Linked DNA regions of Lepisosteus oculatus. Each later gene encodes a partner of the first gene's protein in a complex. Links are inferred from orthologs where the notes say so. Each region holds a gene or a part of one and is shown on either strand. Other genes may lie near its edges.

What was found. Proteins that work in one complex are often made in the same cells at the same time.
Region 2: the proteins of lman1 (region 1) and mcfd2 are in contact, whole or in part, in a cryo-EM structure (PDB 8JP5), measured with the Homo sapiens proteins. The link is inferred for Lepisosteus oculatus from reciprocal best matches to the Homo sapiens genes LMAN1 and MCFD2. Residues at the interface, in NP_005561.1 of Homo sapiens: His43, Arg44, Arg45, Phe46, Tyr48, Lys49, Ser51, Phe52, Lys53, Pro55, His56, Gln59, Ser60, Asp61, Val64, Pro65, Phe66, Trp67, Lys96, Phe265, Glu273, Lys279, Glu280, Ile281, Glu285, Lys286, Tyr289, Glu292, Phe293, Phe296; in NP_001164977.1 of Homo sapiens: Val59, Ile60, Asn61, Lys62, Gln70, Glu71, Leu74, His75, Phe77, Lys78, Tyr82, Asp83, Asn86, Asp89, Gly90, Leu91, Glu92, Thr95, Thr98, His99, Val100, Leu111, Glu114, Leu117, Ile118, Ile121, Asp122, Leu125, Asp129, Lys130.

What each region holds. Positions count from the first base shown.
Region 1 is NC_090698.1:20,227,728-20,235,181, forward strand, and holds the start of lman1 (protein ERGIC-53), read left to right. Parts: upstream 1-4,446; 5' UTR 4,447-4,482; coding exon 4,483-4,681; intron 4,682-7,454. UniProt on the Homo sapiens protein: Mannose-specific lectin. May recognize sugar residues of glycoproteins, glycolipids, or glycosylphosphatidyl inositol anchors and may be involved in the sorting or recycling of proteins, lipids, or both.
Region 2 is NC_090712.1:13,243,174-13,250,843, forward strand, and holds the start of mcfd2 (multiple coagulation factor deficiency protein 2), read left to right. Parts: upstream 1-4,667; 5' UTR 4,668-4,776; exon of another isoform or gene 4,777-4,810; intron 4,811-6,475; 5' UTR 6,476-6,566; coding exon 6,567-6,733; intron 6,734-7,290; coding exon 7,291-7,450; intron 7,451-7,659; coding exon 7,660-7,670. UniProt on the Homo sapiens protein: The MCFD2-LMAN1 complex forms a specific cargo receptor for the ER-to-Golgi transport of selected proteins. Plays a role in the secretion of coagulation factors.

The sequences.
Region 1 (7,454 bases):
GTATGTCTAGAACTTAGACTTTTGCATTTTTATTGTGTATTGGTACAGTATAAATTAAAACAGAAATGCTATCTGGAGTATAGTACATTTTCAGTAACCATGAAAGCATTAAAACTGTTATTTGTATTTAATATGCAGGAAAATACAAACTGGTAGAATATTCTTGTACAGTCAAACAACAGGTTTTATATGTCTTAAGATATCTGAAACCAAACTTCATGCTTCTTGAATAATGTCTGCATAATAAATTGGATGATAACATCATCCTTCATACTTAAAAAAACTAATGGTAAACAAACATGACATAAATCAATACCAATTGTACTGACAACGGTTTGTTTCCTGGGACAACATTTAAAATAAAGTCAGAAAATTTTGTTCTAATCAAGATTTTATTCTCTGTCTAGAGTCTTAGGTTTAAACGCATTAAAGAAATTTATAGAATATAGAACAAAATACCAGCGAAAATTAGCCTTCAGTTATATAGCCTCACATCACCTACAGAGCCTTTCATTGTAACTATGAAAGACTTCAGTGAAACCTTATTGCTTGAAACCCAAATTTATGGGTTTTACTTCTTCTTTTAACTTTCCAGTGTAGCTCTACTTGTTGTATAGCAGGACCAGATTCTTGCTTGGCACTGGACTCTGAACAAACTATATTTTTCCCCCCTTGTAAAAGGGTACAGGTACAGTAAGTGAAAATGCAATGTGGTAGAACTGTAAGTATTTTCTGATTATAGACCCATGCCTTCGTGTTCTCGGTAGAAAAGTTACCTGTATTTAATAAAAATGCACACTTATTAAGAGATAATACTATAGCTTACAATCCTTTTAAGATGCCTCAGTACAGTTAGACTTCATTACACATTGGCAACTGTCAAATGCAGGAAGACGAAAGTGAGTGACAGAGGTATTGTTGCAAAACTCCACCACCCACTGGGGGACTGGGGCTTCCCTCTGAATGAGACGCCTTTAGGGATCATGTAACCTGAACCCCATTCATTGCTCTGTCATTTTAGCTTGACCACCTCTGCACGAACATATTAACCTCCTCTTGTGATTTCATAAAAAAAATCTAATTTAGCAAGCAATTAAGGGGTCACATGTAGGATAAAGAGCTGGATAATCTGGGATTACACGCAGGAAGCTTTGTTTCCAAGGCAACCTCTAGCAGAGTGGAGTGTTAATGCCCAGGTCAGTCTGTTAACGAAACAGGAAGAGTCATAGATTCCAAAACTTGCACTTGTATGGCCTGAATGCAAAAAAAACGATGCAGAGCTCTCATCACCAGGAATGCTTAATGATGCTCTTAATTTTAGGCTTCGTTTTCTTTGTACTGTACATCTACTAAAATTTATCTCCATAAAACTAGAAACTACATTAGATGTATAACACAGACACGTGCTATTGTTATTTCTAAGGGGGATCACAAAAAAAAAACAACAAAATGATTCACAGGCAAAAACAGCCCAGTATAATTTGCTTTAATACATACAGCCTAAAATCCGATTAAAAGTAATTTAATATTGTACTCATGGGCATGAGCATATCACCTATTAATAATAAGCTTTCTTACTTCTGATAATCTGAATCTGAATCCGAACTTTGTATCCATATTTCCATATTTTGTGCCATGAAAGAGAACACATGCTCAATAATAATATCACTTTATTAACCCTTTACAATGTCTTGGATTAGGAATTATCTTTGCACATTCCCCAGCTTGCTCTCCAAGAGACACACAGACAGGGAGAGAGCCTGGGGTCAGAGCACAGGGTCTGCCATTGTACAGCACCCCTGGGGTTAAGGGCTGTGCTCAGGAGCCCAGTGGAGTAGGATTCCTCTGCCAGCTGCAGGATTTGAACCTGCAACCTTCTAGCCACAGGTGCAGATCCTTAGCCACAGAGCCACTGCTCCACCCCAATCCTGAAAGACGTTGCACTTCTCAAGGAAAAAGAACTACAATTATGAAACCATGAAAAGTACAGTAGTTTTTTATGCTATTAAGAACTTTGAAGGGTAGTATCTCAAAAGAAATTGTCAATTTAAATACATATCTATTTGTTCCTGTCATTCAAGGTGTATACCAGCTTTTTTGCATTATAATAATATAATTATAATTTTGCACTATAATTTACTTAGAGACGTTAATTAGTATAATGAAATACTTTCTGTAAAGTACTAATATTACCAATTGACTTTTATATTTAAATTATTCAATATTTCAATTTATACTGGGGCAGGAGACCTGAAAGGAAAACCTTAATACATACAGTACGACACTATACACATAACACTCACAGTTGCTGATAGTGGTGTTGATGGACCAGTACAGTTTCTGTAGAGCAGAATGTCTACATTAATGACCCAATATGCTGTGCTGTAGGAGGCACCACTCGTATGAAGAGAATTTAAACCAAGTTCCTTACTAACTGCAAGAGATCCTATCTCATGGCTTATAAAATGAGTCCAACTCTGCACTTACACAAACTGGCCTCCCTCAATAACCCTCTCATTTCAATCAGTTCTTGCTTTTCAATCTAACGTGCTGAGCAGTGGGGCTCTTGTCTGTCACCTAGGTGGGTGCTGCTCTTGCGTGATATGTAAAGTGGGTGCCTTCTTTTGTGTAAACCAGATTAGGACCCTTTAGCACTATACAAATGCAAGCAAATTAATTGTATTATTATACCGCAGTATATGAACTACAGATTTTAGATGATCTTTATTGAAAAAAATTAAGTACATCAAAGTCCATCAACTACAAAACATGTATAGGGAACTGCTGCATTCAAAACAAAATTAATACCCTGAGAAACTTTGAACAAGAAAAAAAACAATAATCGACAAGGGAGATAATAAACATGGTGAATTGATCTACTACAAATCCCTCAAAAGTCAAAAACTGTCATTCACAACAATCCTGTTAGGCATAACATCAAAACTCTATTAAAGTTAAATTTTTCAGTGTTTAAAATACTTTCTTTCTTTTTGCAAAATCTCCTGTTTCCTCTTTTCCAGTCTGCATACAAAAGCAGTTAACTTTTTACAGAAAGTGAGTAAAATATTAATTTTGAGATTCCTCCTTAAAATTACCACAATACAAAAAAAGTATCTAATTGTTTTAGAAGTCTATTAATTTAGTTGTGTCTAAATGTGGAATTTGCCAATCAGTTATTGTTCAATTAATAATAGCAGAGGTCAATACAATAAAATGCCTCAATAATCACTGCCGTGTACAACATAGATCAATGGTGCACAAAACAAGATGCCACTTGCTTTTCCTGTATACATACTGCACGTTGGAGTACTTAAAAACAATGTTATTTACTGGTATTGTTAAAAGAGAATTAGCAGAGAAATGCATTTGAAAAGTATATGTGTTTTAAACTCAAAATCCAAATCTGCTTGGGTCTGCCAGATGTGGTGCATGCTTCAAGTGAATTGGAGTACAACAGGCTGGAATACCACATTCTATCTCTTCTGGATGCAGACAGTAGGTGTGTATGACACAAGAGGGAGAGTTGTTTTTACTTGATTTTATTACTTTAAATAAATGAACTTGACAATGTTGGGCTAAGAGATGTAGAATATACACTACTGTATGTCCTAGCTGCTCTCCTGTCTTTTTATCTGAATGTATTTTCCTGCCCATATACTGACTTGATGACTTCATGTTTGCAAAAGTAATGATTAATATAAAATACAGGACTAACTCTATTCTTCTGTCAGGAAGATTTAAAACTTCATATACAATATAAAACGGTTCAACTAGCCTGGCTTTCTTGATGATAGCATCCATTCTCTACTAGCTGCATGTCTTTCTGCTTATTATTGTATGTACAATAATGAGCATACAGTAGCTCAGCCCTGCAAGGACTCAATTAAGGCTGTTCGAAGGCAACTCAGTACAATCCCCACCACACACAGCACCTTATGTTTTTGGACTATAGCTATGGCTGCAACTGTTTAGGACAGATGTGATAAAGTTAGGTATTAGTCAAACCTTAAATACAGAGGCAATGGCTGAGATTTGGGGTAAAGTTGTAGTTTTTTGTCATCACACAGTTTTATGTCATCCTTATTTGCCATTAGGAATTTATAGATTTATTACCAAATGTAACCAAATAAGCAATCATAAACCTTTTTTATGTCAGTTTATCTAAAAACGTGTATTGTTATTCAAACTTGCTATATAATTCTTACGAGATGGATCAATCAAGAAGTTACCATACAAACAACAAGCAACACATCTTTAGATTCCAAATTATTAACTGAGCTTTTTATGGTGTGGCAATAGTAAAATAATATATACAGTACACGACTCAACTGAACTCTCCCCCTACCTACCACAGCGCACCAAACCCCGACTAGTGTGTACGTCACCATCGAGCTATAGTCCAATGAGAAAGCGCCCTGTTGGCTGTGCTGGAATTCCCGACATCCCCTACAGTCTGCGCTACGTCAGCAGTGGGACTGAAAGATGGCGGTGTCCATAGAAAAGTGCTTGATTGTAGCAACTAGGTTATTAATATTAACTTTAATATTTCACCTGGTTTCTGCGGACGTTGTTCAGAGCTCCCAGGACTCGCCACATCGCCGGTTTGAATACAAATACAGTTTCAAAGGACCTCATCTTGCGCAGAGCGACGGTACTATTCCTTTTTGGGTGCACACTGGAAGTAAGTTTTTTTGCAGTATTCATACTACACGAGCAATAGCTTTTCTGTATTAATATATAGGCAGAATATAGTCAGAATAATAAACACAATTTTCCCGTCATAAAGATTGCAGGTATACAAATAACACAGCTTGTTGGCTTTTTGTTTGCGCACTGTGCAATCTGCTGTCATTGGAAAAATCCGTGCTGAAACGTATTGGAAATCATTAAATGCAATTTGTGTTCAATTTCCTCTGCATGCAGTACATGTGCATTTCTCTTGATGATGAAATCTGAAACCGTAATGGCGATCATAATATACATAAACTTGAAAAAGGCTACATTGCCAGCCGAGACGTTGTGTGCTTTGCTCTTTCAACTTCTCAGTGTAGAATTAATCACTACTTGTGTTTCTTTGCATGGTAATGGTATTATTGTTACCGTGAATTAGCGCTGCAGTTATTTTTTCTCGATTTGCATGAGTTACAGTAGTGCTTAACGATAAACTATTTGTTTTGTTCAGCTCTGTTTGGATTGGGACTCTCCAGAACTTCACTTAGATAAAAGTAACTCTATTAAAATATATGGCAGAAAACATTGCCAATTTTTCTATGTAAACTTACTTCTGTAATGGAGTGTCTGAGGTCTTTTCTTAGATTAACCTGAGATATTAGGATTTATCTGCAGCCACTCCAGTAGAAAGTACTTTATTTCAGTTCGCAGCTGTCTACAACATTAAGGCTGGTATGGCTTTCTGCCTAAAACATTTGGGGGAAAAGCTGTTTTGTGCTGTGCAGCAGCACAGAGCTCTGGTGAAGAGAAGGAAACCAGTCAGTTTTAAAACCAAAATTAAAAAAAATTAGTCTGTATGCAAGAGGTATGACTTCAGCACATTTATCCTTTACATTGTTTCTTTTAGTTCAGGTGGGTAGCTGCGTCAGCATGCGTAGGCTGCAAAGGAACAAGTAATAGGTTTATTCCATGCTGAAAAAAAGAAGAAAGAGAACACAACGTTTCGGCCGTGGAGCACCTGAAGAAGGCTCCACGGCCGAAACGTTGTGTTCTCTTTCTTCTTTTTTTCAGCATGGAATAAACCTATTAATTGTTTCTTTTAGTTGAGTCAGTGCTCTTGCATTTCTGTTATGTTTACATTTTTATTCAATATCCATGTTCATTACTTTAAAGTATTGTGTGGCTGCACAGTGTCAAAGTCCATGTAGGTTCACTTTATCTGCTCTGTGACAAGTATTTCTTCCTCAGGTAAAATATCATGGTGCTTGGGTGAAGTGACAGCCTGAAATGATCTTTTTCATACTTTCTTTGCCAAACAAGGATTTTTACTACCTTTAATTTCTAAATAATAAAACTCTTATTTCTAATATCCTGTAGTAGAGTCGATTTTGTTTGTCTGTAGCACAAACTGAAGGTCATACACAATTTACTGAAGAAAAACAGTCCATTAAAATACTTAAATATAAAATTGTACTTATTTGTTACAAATCTTTTTATTTTATATAGCACCTTTAAAGGTGGCTTCTCAAAGTGCTTTACAGAATGACAACAATAAAAAATCCACAAGATATGCACAATGAAAATACACAATGAGACAGTAAGTGTGGGTACTGAATACAGTAGGAGCAGAGGAGTAAATAACAGAGCTAGTTAATTAAAGGTGGGTAGCTGCATCAGCATGTGTAGGCTGCAAAGGAACAAGTAATAGGCCTATTCTATGCTGAAAAGACTAGAAAGAAAACACAACATTTCACCTGAAGAAGGCTCCGAGGCCGAAACATTGTGTTTGCTTTCTTCTCTTTTCAGCATGGAATAAACCTACTGCTAGTTGAGTAAAGGCCTTTCTCAAGAAGAAGGTTTGAGTCTAGATTTGAAGGAGTTTAGGGAAGGTGTCTCTCTGATATCCTTAGTGAAAGAGTTCCAGAGCTTTGGGGCATAACAGGAGAAGGCCCTGTCACCCATAGAGTGTAGACGGGTTTGGGGGACAGCTACTGTAGCATTTTGAAGTTGACACGAAACCTGACTGGAAGCCAGTGCAAGGACTCCAGGATAGGAGTAATATGATCACTAGCACTAGACCTATTCAGGATTCTGGCTTCTGAATTTTGGACGTACTTGAGTTTGTTCAATGTGGATTTAAAAACCAAAGCAAGTGGAGCATTACAGTAATCAATTCCGTAGAAGACAAATGTATTGATAAGCTTTTCAGCAACAGTTAGCAAATACATAGGACATAGTCTGGTGATATTTCTGAGGTGAAAGAATGGTGTTTTGACAATATGTTGCCCATTTAGGTCAAATATCAAGCCCAAATCAAATATCACACCCATGTTTTTCAATTTAGACTGATGTTCAAGTACAGTACCCTCCACAGATAGGGTTACAGCACTAACTTTACAAAGTTGATGGGGATGCCAAAAAGCATGACTTCAGTCTGGTCACAGTTTAGATGAAGGACATTTTGAGTCATCCATATTTTTATGCAAAATATACAGTTAGAATAGAAACAGCCATATCAGTGTCGGGTCTGGTATAGATGTAGATTTGGGTATCTTCACCATAGAAGTGAGAGTTGATCTTAAAAGCAACCAAGTGGAAGCATGTAAATATTGAAAAGTAGAGAGCCTAGCATCGAGCCCTGAGGAACACCACACTTAACGAGTAAGATTTCAGACCTACATATGCTAAGAGAGACAAAGTGACAGTGAGCTAAGACTTGAACTATTTAAGAACAGTGTCAGAAACTCCACACAGTCTCAGGATGAGAAAGTAAGATATCATGG
Region 2 (7,670 bases), on another chromosome or scaffold:
CCATATAAACAGCAAGAACCTTGGTTTTAGCTACTGAAATGTAGATGCTTCCCATTAATAAAACTTTATGAGCACCAGAACCTACAGTATTAATATATATATATATGCTACCAACTTATTAAACACTAAATAAGTTACAGTATATTTAAAAAGCCATATTTAAAGCAGATGTATTTGTATCATGCTTGAATTTATCACACAAAACCAAAGATCTTTCACGGAGAGGCTACAGAAAACAGATATTTTACCTGGTATGATAGAAAACCTGGTACAGTATGTTGTCTAAGCTCTTAAAAATATTTTTAAATTGAAATTTCTCATTGTTTTTTTTTTTTACATAAAAAGATCAACTTCTCCCTCTCTTAAAAGTTCAGGTGACCGTCCTTGTGTTACATAATAACTTAACGACCAGAAACAACACTGTCAAGCAGGTGGATAAAAGTCACCTCAGATTTATTTACTTTACACACATGTATGCAGGCTGCATTCTGCATGTTTGAGACAACTCTGTAGGGTGGTTCTTGTGGTTCACAATTACAGCATGTACAGTAAGCAGGAAGACAGCCTTATTGGAAGGAATTTCTCCTCAAGTTCTATTTTCGAGTTACATGTGGAAAAACTGGCTTCCTCATGTGACTTACCAGACAGCTGTATAAAACTGCTATCTAGTCAAGAGACTAACAAACCTGTAATCTATATCTGTAAACCTACTGTGCATCACTTAATAATATTGTGTAAATCCTGTTTGGCACATTGTATAACACAAAATTTCCATGTAAATGTCCATGTACTCATGACATATTCCTTGAATGGTAATCTATAGAAAGCTCTTTTAGTTTTAAAGTCTAAGGTGTTTTTGAATTTTTAATGTTTGTTAAAAGGAAATCTGACAGGACTTATAAACAAGGTTGAGGGAACACATTCATTCAAAAAAAAACATTAAAAATGCAAGTCCAGGGCGACAGAATGAAACACTCTGAACACAAAAACGATTACTTTGTAAGTAAATTTCCTACTTACCACAAATTAAGCAAAACCACTAGATCTAGAAATAGCACAGAACTGCGTTGTAACATAAAAATCAGAATGGCAATAATCCATTGAATCTAAAATTTGAAGATGAAAAGGAGTTCTTATCAGTTAGGTATTAGTATCATGCAGCAATGTAAACTTCTGTACGTAATGTGTAAACTCTAAGCTGTGTTTTAATTCAATCTATCACTCAATATAAATTCGAATTCTTCACTTTTAGCACTCGCACCACAGTGCTTGCACAACTCTGCAAGATGAACGTGGCTACTTCCCTAACTTTGGTCAGTGAATCGAGTCACACGTTTTGCATTTGAAGTTACTGGAACAAATGACTGACTTTGTAAGTACAAAGTTCAGCCCTGACTGTAAAGGCGGAACCACTACTGTATTCTCTTGCCTGTGTATTTTTTTTTGCGGTTGTTTTTTTATAATTGAGAGAGCGACAAATTCCTCCTAAACACTCACCATCTTCGTGTATTCGAGCCGAAATGAGTTGCTCTACCAGACCGGGTATCTTGTCCCACTGGCATTCGCCGCGACACCTCTCTATCTCAGCCTCCAAACGGTACTGAGAGAACGATATCCTAGCTGCCATGCTCCTTGATAACGATAACCGTAATCCACAGTCACTGAGCCCGCTGGTGACTGACAGGCAATCAAAAAGTAAACTTTCTCACTGAGCATGTGCGACTGGAAAGTGACTTGTGTTTAAGTACTATACAGTGAGTGGGATTTACAATCTTCCTGGATGTAACGCAGCTACAGTGAAGATTTAGAATAACGACATAATTTGCTGTTGTTACAACATCATCAGCTTTCTTTCCTGTTGATGTGATTTAAAAAAAAATACAAAAACAAACCAAATAATTACATTGTGTTTGTTGTGTATGTTTGTAAGGAACATTCGTCATCGTAGACTTGCTTATGTTTGTTGTTTTTTTTTTGCTTTTAAGTGTAATTATATATATATATCTTATTTTTCATAACATTATGCGTTACCTTAAGAAAAAAACTCTAAGATCTACAGTACAATAACCTTTCCTCTTCCCATACTGCTCTGCTTTTTGTTAGGGAGTGTTGAAACAAACTGGGCCTCTGTTTACACAGTTGATTAATAACAACCTTTAAACAACAAAGCTGATAATGATCACCTACTGCTCCGTATTCAAAAACACTAGTTTCTGGTAGATCTGCCGAAACACTGACTTCCACATACAGCTTTAAATGGAGCACATTACAATGAAATGCTTGAATGTCAAATCACCTAATATTTCATCGTGAAAATGCAATAAACCCAGCGTCTGACGTTATTGTCTAAACAGTAATTGAGCCTTTTGAGGTTGTTAAATTTTAAGTGCTCCGAAACTGAAAATAATGTGCTTCTAAATTACGCAATAGTGCCTCCTCGTGGATACAACGAACTTTGACTATGGTAAAGATTATTTTTTTAGCCCCGTAAATATAAACTGGCGGGGTGATAGACGCAATTATTGCTTTCATTGTCAAACAGATTTTTTGCATTTCTTTGCCACTTTGTGTTTCCTACAACAGTTTCCTCTATGAACTGGCTACATTACTCTGCTCTCCTCCCCACTGATAGCTGATGTGTGGTGAGTGTACTGGTGCACTATGGCTGCTGTCGCATCATCCAGGTGAAGCTGCACATTGGTGGTGGTGGAGGGGAGTCCCCATTACCTGTAAAGCGCTTTGAGTAGAGTGTCCAAAGCGCTATATAAGTGTAAGCAATTATTATTATTATTATTATTATTATTACAACAATAATAGTATTGTCGTGCTTAAAATTGTATTCTTCTTAAACAATCACGCAAAAAAACAGTATATGTTGTGCTTTATAATACATTTACATCATTATGTAAACCCCATAATGACTAACAAGGTGCATGTTAGCGATCTGAAAAAAAAAACAGCCCGCCAGCCGTTGTTTTAACAGAGATATTGATATAAATAACGGTAACATTAGTTTAAGATAACAATAGCTGTGTTGTCTTACAAGTAGAAACTACAGCTGTTGTTTTGGTTATATCGTTTTACTGATGTCTGATACTGTGGTAAATAAACGAGTATTTTAACCCCGCCGTTACAAACTAAAAGACGACACCTTGTACTACTGTTTTGAGTTATTGAATGTGTGGGGATTACGTCACCGAAAGCTCATTCGGCGTCATTTAGCTCTTACATGAACTGAAAGTTCTCCTTTCGTTTTGAATGTTTAAGAGAATTAAAAAAGGAATCTGGATTCGCGAACTAGGAAAGTAAGCATGCGATACAGTGTTTAGATGTTGGTTTCATGTTCAATCTTATATGGGCCGAGCTAAACATCTCTGTACAAAATTCATAATAATTCCTTACATTCGTGTTGCATTATCACCCCCAAATTATTCTAAATCTAAGATCTGCTTCATCCACCACCTTAGTTTGGCATCCAGTGCACCGCAGGTTAGAGACAAGTGAGATACCGCTTCTAGACCGAAATAAGGAGGAGATCGTGCAAACCCAGAGTGAAATACAGGCAGGACAATAACTAACATCCTTATTCTTACGAACAGTGCTATGGGGTGAACAGTTACTCAGGATCGTGTTTGAACATCTGGATTCAGTCATTTTATGGCTGGAAGGCTGCCGCTTCAAATCCCACAGCCGGCAGAGAAATCCTACTGCGTGTTGCCCCTGAGCAAAGCCCTTAACCCCGACTGCACCAGGGGGCGCTGTGCAATGTGTCTACGTGTCTCATGGAGAGCAACCTGGGGTATGCGAAAAGACGAATTCCTAATGCAAGAAATTGTATAGGGCTAATAAAGTGATGTTAAGTTATGAGACACTGGATTAGAAACGGAAGTCTGGGGGGATGTGCCACCTTCTATCAAATAGACCTTGCTGTCTACCAACACAGCTTCCAGCACCAACTCGCTTTTTTCTTCTGTCCTCCCAATCCAATACTGATTAGTAGACCCAGCCATCCTGAGTTTGACGAATTTAAGGTAATGGCCTGTAGGTCTGCTGATGCATAGTGTACGATTTCTAAAGTACTAAACTTTACAGTTACTGGACGTTTAAAATATTTTAAGTAATCAGACTTTTTCTGGATAGATGGGGATTTTTCTCTTGCTCTAGAAGCATTTAAATACATATATTTAAAATAAGGTAATGTATGTTCTTGAGCATGTCTGCTATAGGAAGCGAAGAAGCAATCACTTGGTTTACGTTTCAAAGAATCCTTGACATTTTTCAATCAGCCTTTACTCATTCACAAAACCAGAATTTCACTAACATGTACAAACGTCTTGTCACACGATACAGTAGCCTTAATACCGAAAATGTGTCGTCAGAGAAACGGATCAATTCAAATCTAGCAGACTACATAATTCAAGAGCTGTGTATACCTTCGTGCTTAGTTCTTGGTGCTTTTCTCCAACCTAATAATACTGCCGAGTCATAAAGGTTAGACTACACTTTCAAATAAACCATAACCGTAACACCTTATCTCTATAATCCAGGAAGTGTTCTGCTTTTACTAGAGGTACGTGGAAAAACCTCAGGAGGAGGCGGAATCGTACTTTTTGACAATTTTAGCCAATCACAGAGAGACGTCGTGTCCTTAGGTGAAAGGTCACTACGGCAAAGCATAAGGACCAAAATACAGTGGAAAAAATTGCATAGACGAAAGTATCGCTCCAAGCGAGTCAGGGTATTTGTACAGGAAAGGAAAGAAAACAAAGGAAATTGGTGAGTGTGGAAGTGATTTGATTGGGCCATAAAGGTGTGTAAAATAGGCTTAATAAGAATATACATTTTTTATTGAACTAATTTCAGACTGACCTGCACCAACTCGTGTCGAATTGCAGCTGCTCTGCTGGGATCCTCTCGATTACACTGTTCAATTAAACACTGTTTATGATTAGTTTACAGCTAAACTAACACTAAATAGTAAATCGACAAAATTAAAGACATTTAGGCTGTCTTAAGTTTATACCTGTGTGGGATCATTAGAACACGCTTTTTATTAAGTAATCTAGGATGTCCGACTGTCTATAGCTAATGTATGATCGGTGTTATTAGCATCAACAGCGGTAATTTGTTACCGTTATAACATATCATTTGAGATAAAGAAGACCTATGTAATGAGGGGGTGTGAAGCACTCGAAAATAACAAAAAAATATGTATCTTGTTTTTGCTGAATTGCGTATTGATCAACTAAGAAATGGCATTCGCCAGCGTTCAAATTAATGTTGTCTGATCATACATCGAAAATACACACCTTTTAATAGCCACTTGTTTGACTATATAAACTCATTTTGCTTTTTCTGTATTAGCTTATATTTCTAGGTGCAGAAGGTACGATAGTAATAACGTCGTATGTTTCTGATAATCCGTTACGCACGTACATCAGTTTACAAATATGTACAAAGTATCTATTGTCAACGTAGGCGTGTTTAGTTCATAAACGAGAAGGTTTTAGAAACTGCAATTCGATCTGTACAGCAGATACAATTATTTTTTCACATGTACAATGAATACCAAGATCTGCCCTGAGGTGGGGACTAACTACCTACTAGTTATGGAAAGATGTAAGAGAATGGTTTTCAGAACCAGAAGCCTGAGACATTTGCAGTTATGCTACAGGTTGATATTTCTTTAGAAGAGCTTTAGTTAATAGATAATTGGATTCGGCAGACTGTTCTGCTGATGAAATGAGGTCATGACTAAAGAAATCACCTAAATGGGATTTTAACCAAGACAAAAAGGTTGCAACAGTATCTGTCTTCCAAGAGACTTTAACTGCAGATGAATTCATGTGATATTCTTATTCCCTCAGGAGAAAAAACACTATTTATGTCTGAAGAACTGACTTTTTTATTCCAACAGTATCCACGCTAGGCGGGATATCTCCAATGACAGTAAGGATATGTCACAATGCTTTAGAATAATGTACTTTCTTTACCAGATTAGGCTAAGTGTCGTTAGTGTTTTTATTTACAGTAGGTTCTGGATTTAAATCTCAGGTGGGTCACTGTGGGTGGCCTCCTGTGAAAGGTTCCTCTATAGATTGGTACAGTTGTAAGTCCCTTTGGATAAAAGTGTCAAAAATGTGACTAATAAATGGCACAATTAAAAATATATTTCCCTAAAATGGTTTTGTACAAATGTTTGGCTCTGTCTTTGCAAGCTTCAAGATGGTCCTCATGTGTCATGGGTTGATAATTGACCTTTTATGTTCATACACCTCTTAAATTTCTTCCAAAATATTTTATTGCTCATTAAAATCTGAACATCTGATGAAAATACAGTGTTGTCTTTAAAATGTAATGGTAGAGAAGTCTTCAAAAGCATTTCTGAAACGTTTGCAATCTTAAATACTATGAACAACGCAGAGTTTAAAAATGGAGTCAGTTGACAGTGGATCTTTACCCACTATTTCCACAGGAATTGTCTTCAACACAGGCCACCTGTAGAGTGCGTTGAGTTCAGCATCTGAGGAGTGCGTCGGTGTCCTGCACAGTTGGTTGGTGTGAGAATGCTGTGGAGAGGCAGAGCCGGCTGGAGCAGCATGTTCAGCTCAGCGCTATTGCTCAGCTGCTTGTTGTCAGCCAGAGCACAAGATCACGGGCAACCTGATGTAGAGGTTGCTGAGGGGCACCGGCCCAACCTCAGACTTGACAAAAATATTGTCCAGGATAAAGAGTAAGTACAGAATTATTCTGTTGGCTTCCCCAACTTTGATGAATTAGCAAATCATAGATTCTTATTAAAAAGCTAAATACTTGTGTTTTTTTCAATTTGCATTTGATATTTCCCCAATGTTACCATTTTTGGGCTTCAGACTGTGTACCATCAAGACCTCCAAGGATTATAAATGTATAAGTCTGACACATTCTATCACTACATCAGTCATCATACAATGTGAGAAGCTTTACATGAAAGGTTCAGGTAAAGGTGGCAAAGCTTTTACATAAATTCACTCAATTTGGGATGTGCTCTGGAGTCTACTGTAAATGTTTTTAGTTGAGGACCTGTACATTAATGATACTAATGCAAGGAATTTCAGGCATCTCTCTTCTATGTGTCAAAAATTACTTTCTACCAAGTACATGTACAATGCCTCGTTGTAAAATTTTATGATTGAAAAATAAAAGTCAAGCACAGCTGTTCAGGTTCAGTCAAATAAAACTGGGCAAGGATACGATTTTTGTTTTCCAAAACTATTTTCCGAACCAAACTGTTTTGTCTTTTTTCTGCAGCCACATTATGGAACATCTAGAAGGGGTGATTGAGAAGCCAGAGTCGGACATGACTCCTCAAGAGCTGCAGCTCCACTACTTCAAAATGCACGACTATGATGGGAACAACCTGCTGGATGGATTAGAGCTTGCAACTGCCATCACTCACGTTCACAAAGAGGTTGGCCAAATCTCATGGCGCTCTGCTAGTCAAAGATTAATTTAGCAGCTTAGCATCAAACCCAACAATCCTGAGAGGCTTTTCATCCTGCGATTTTGCGAAACATCTTTTGAAATTAGATTGCTTTAGGCTTAAACTTATTTTTGCATTGTAATTACCAATGGGCCTTATGTAGTATTTTACATACTGTATATAATTTTGTTTTCCAGGAAAGAGGAGA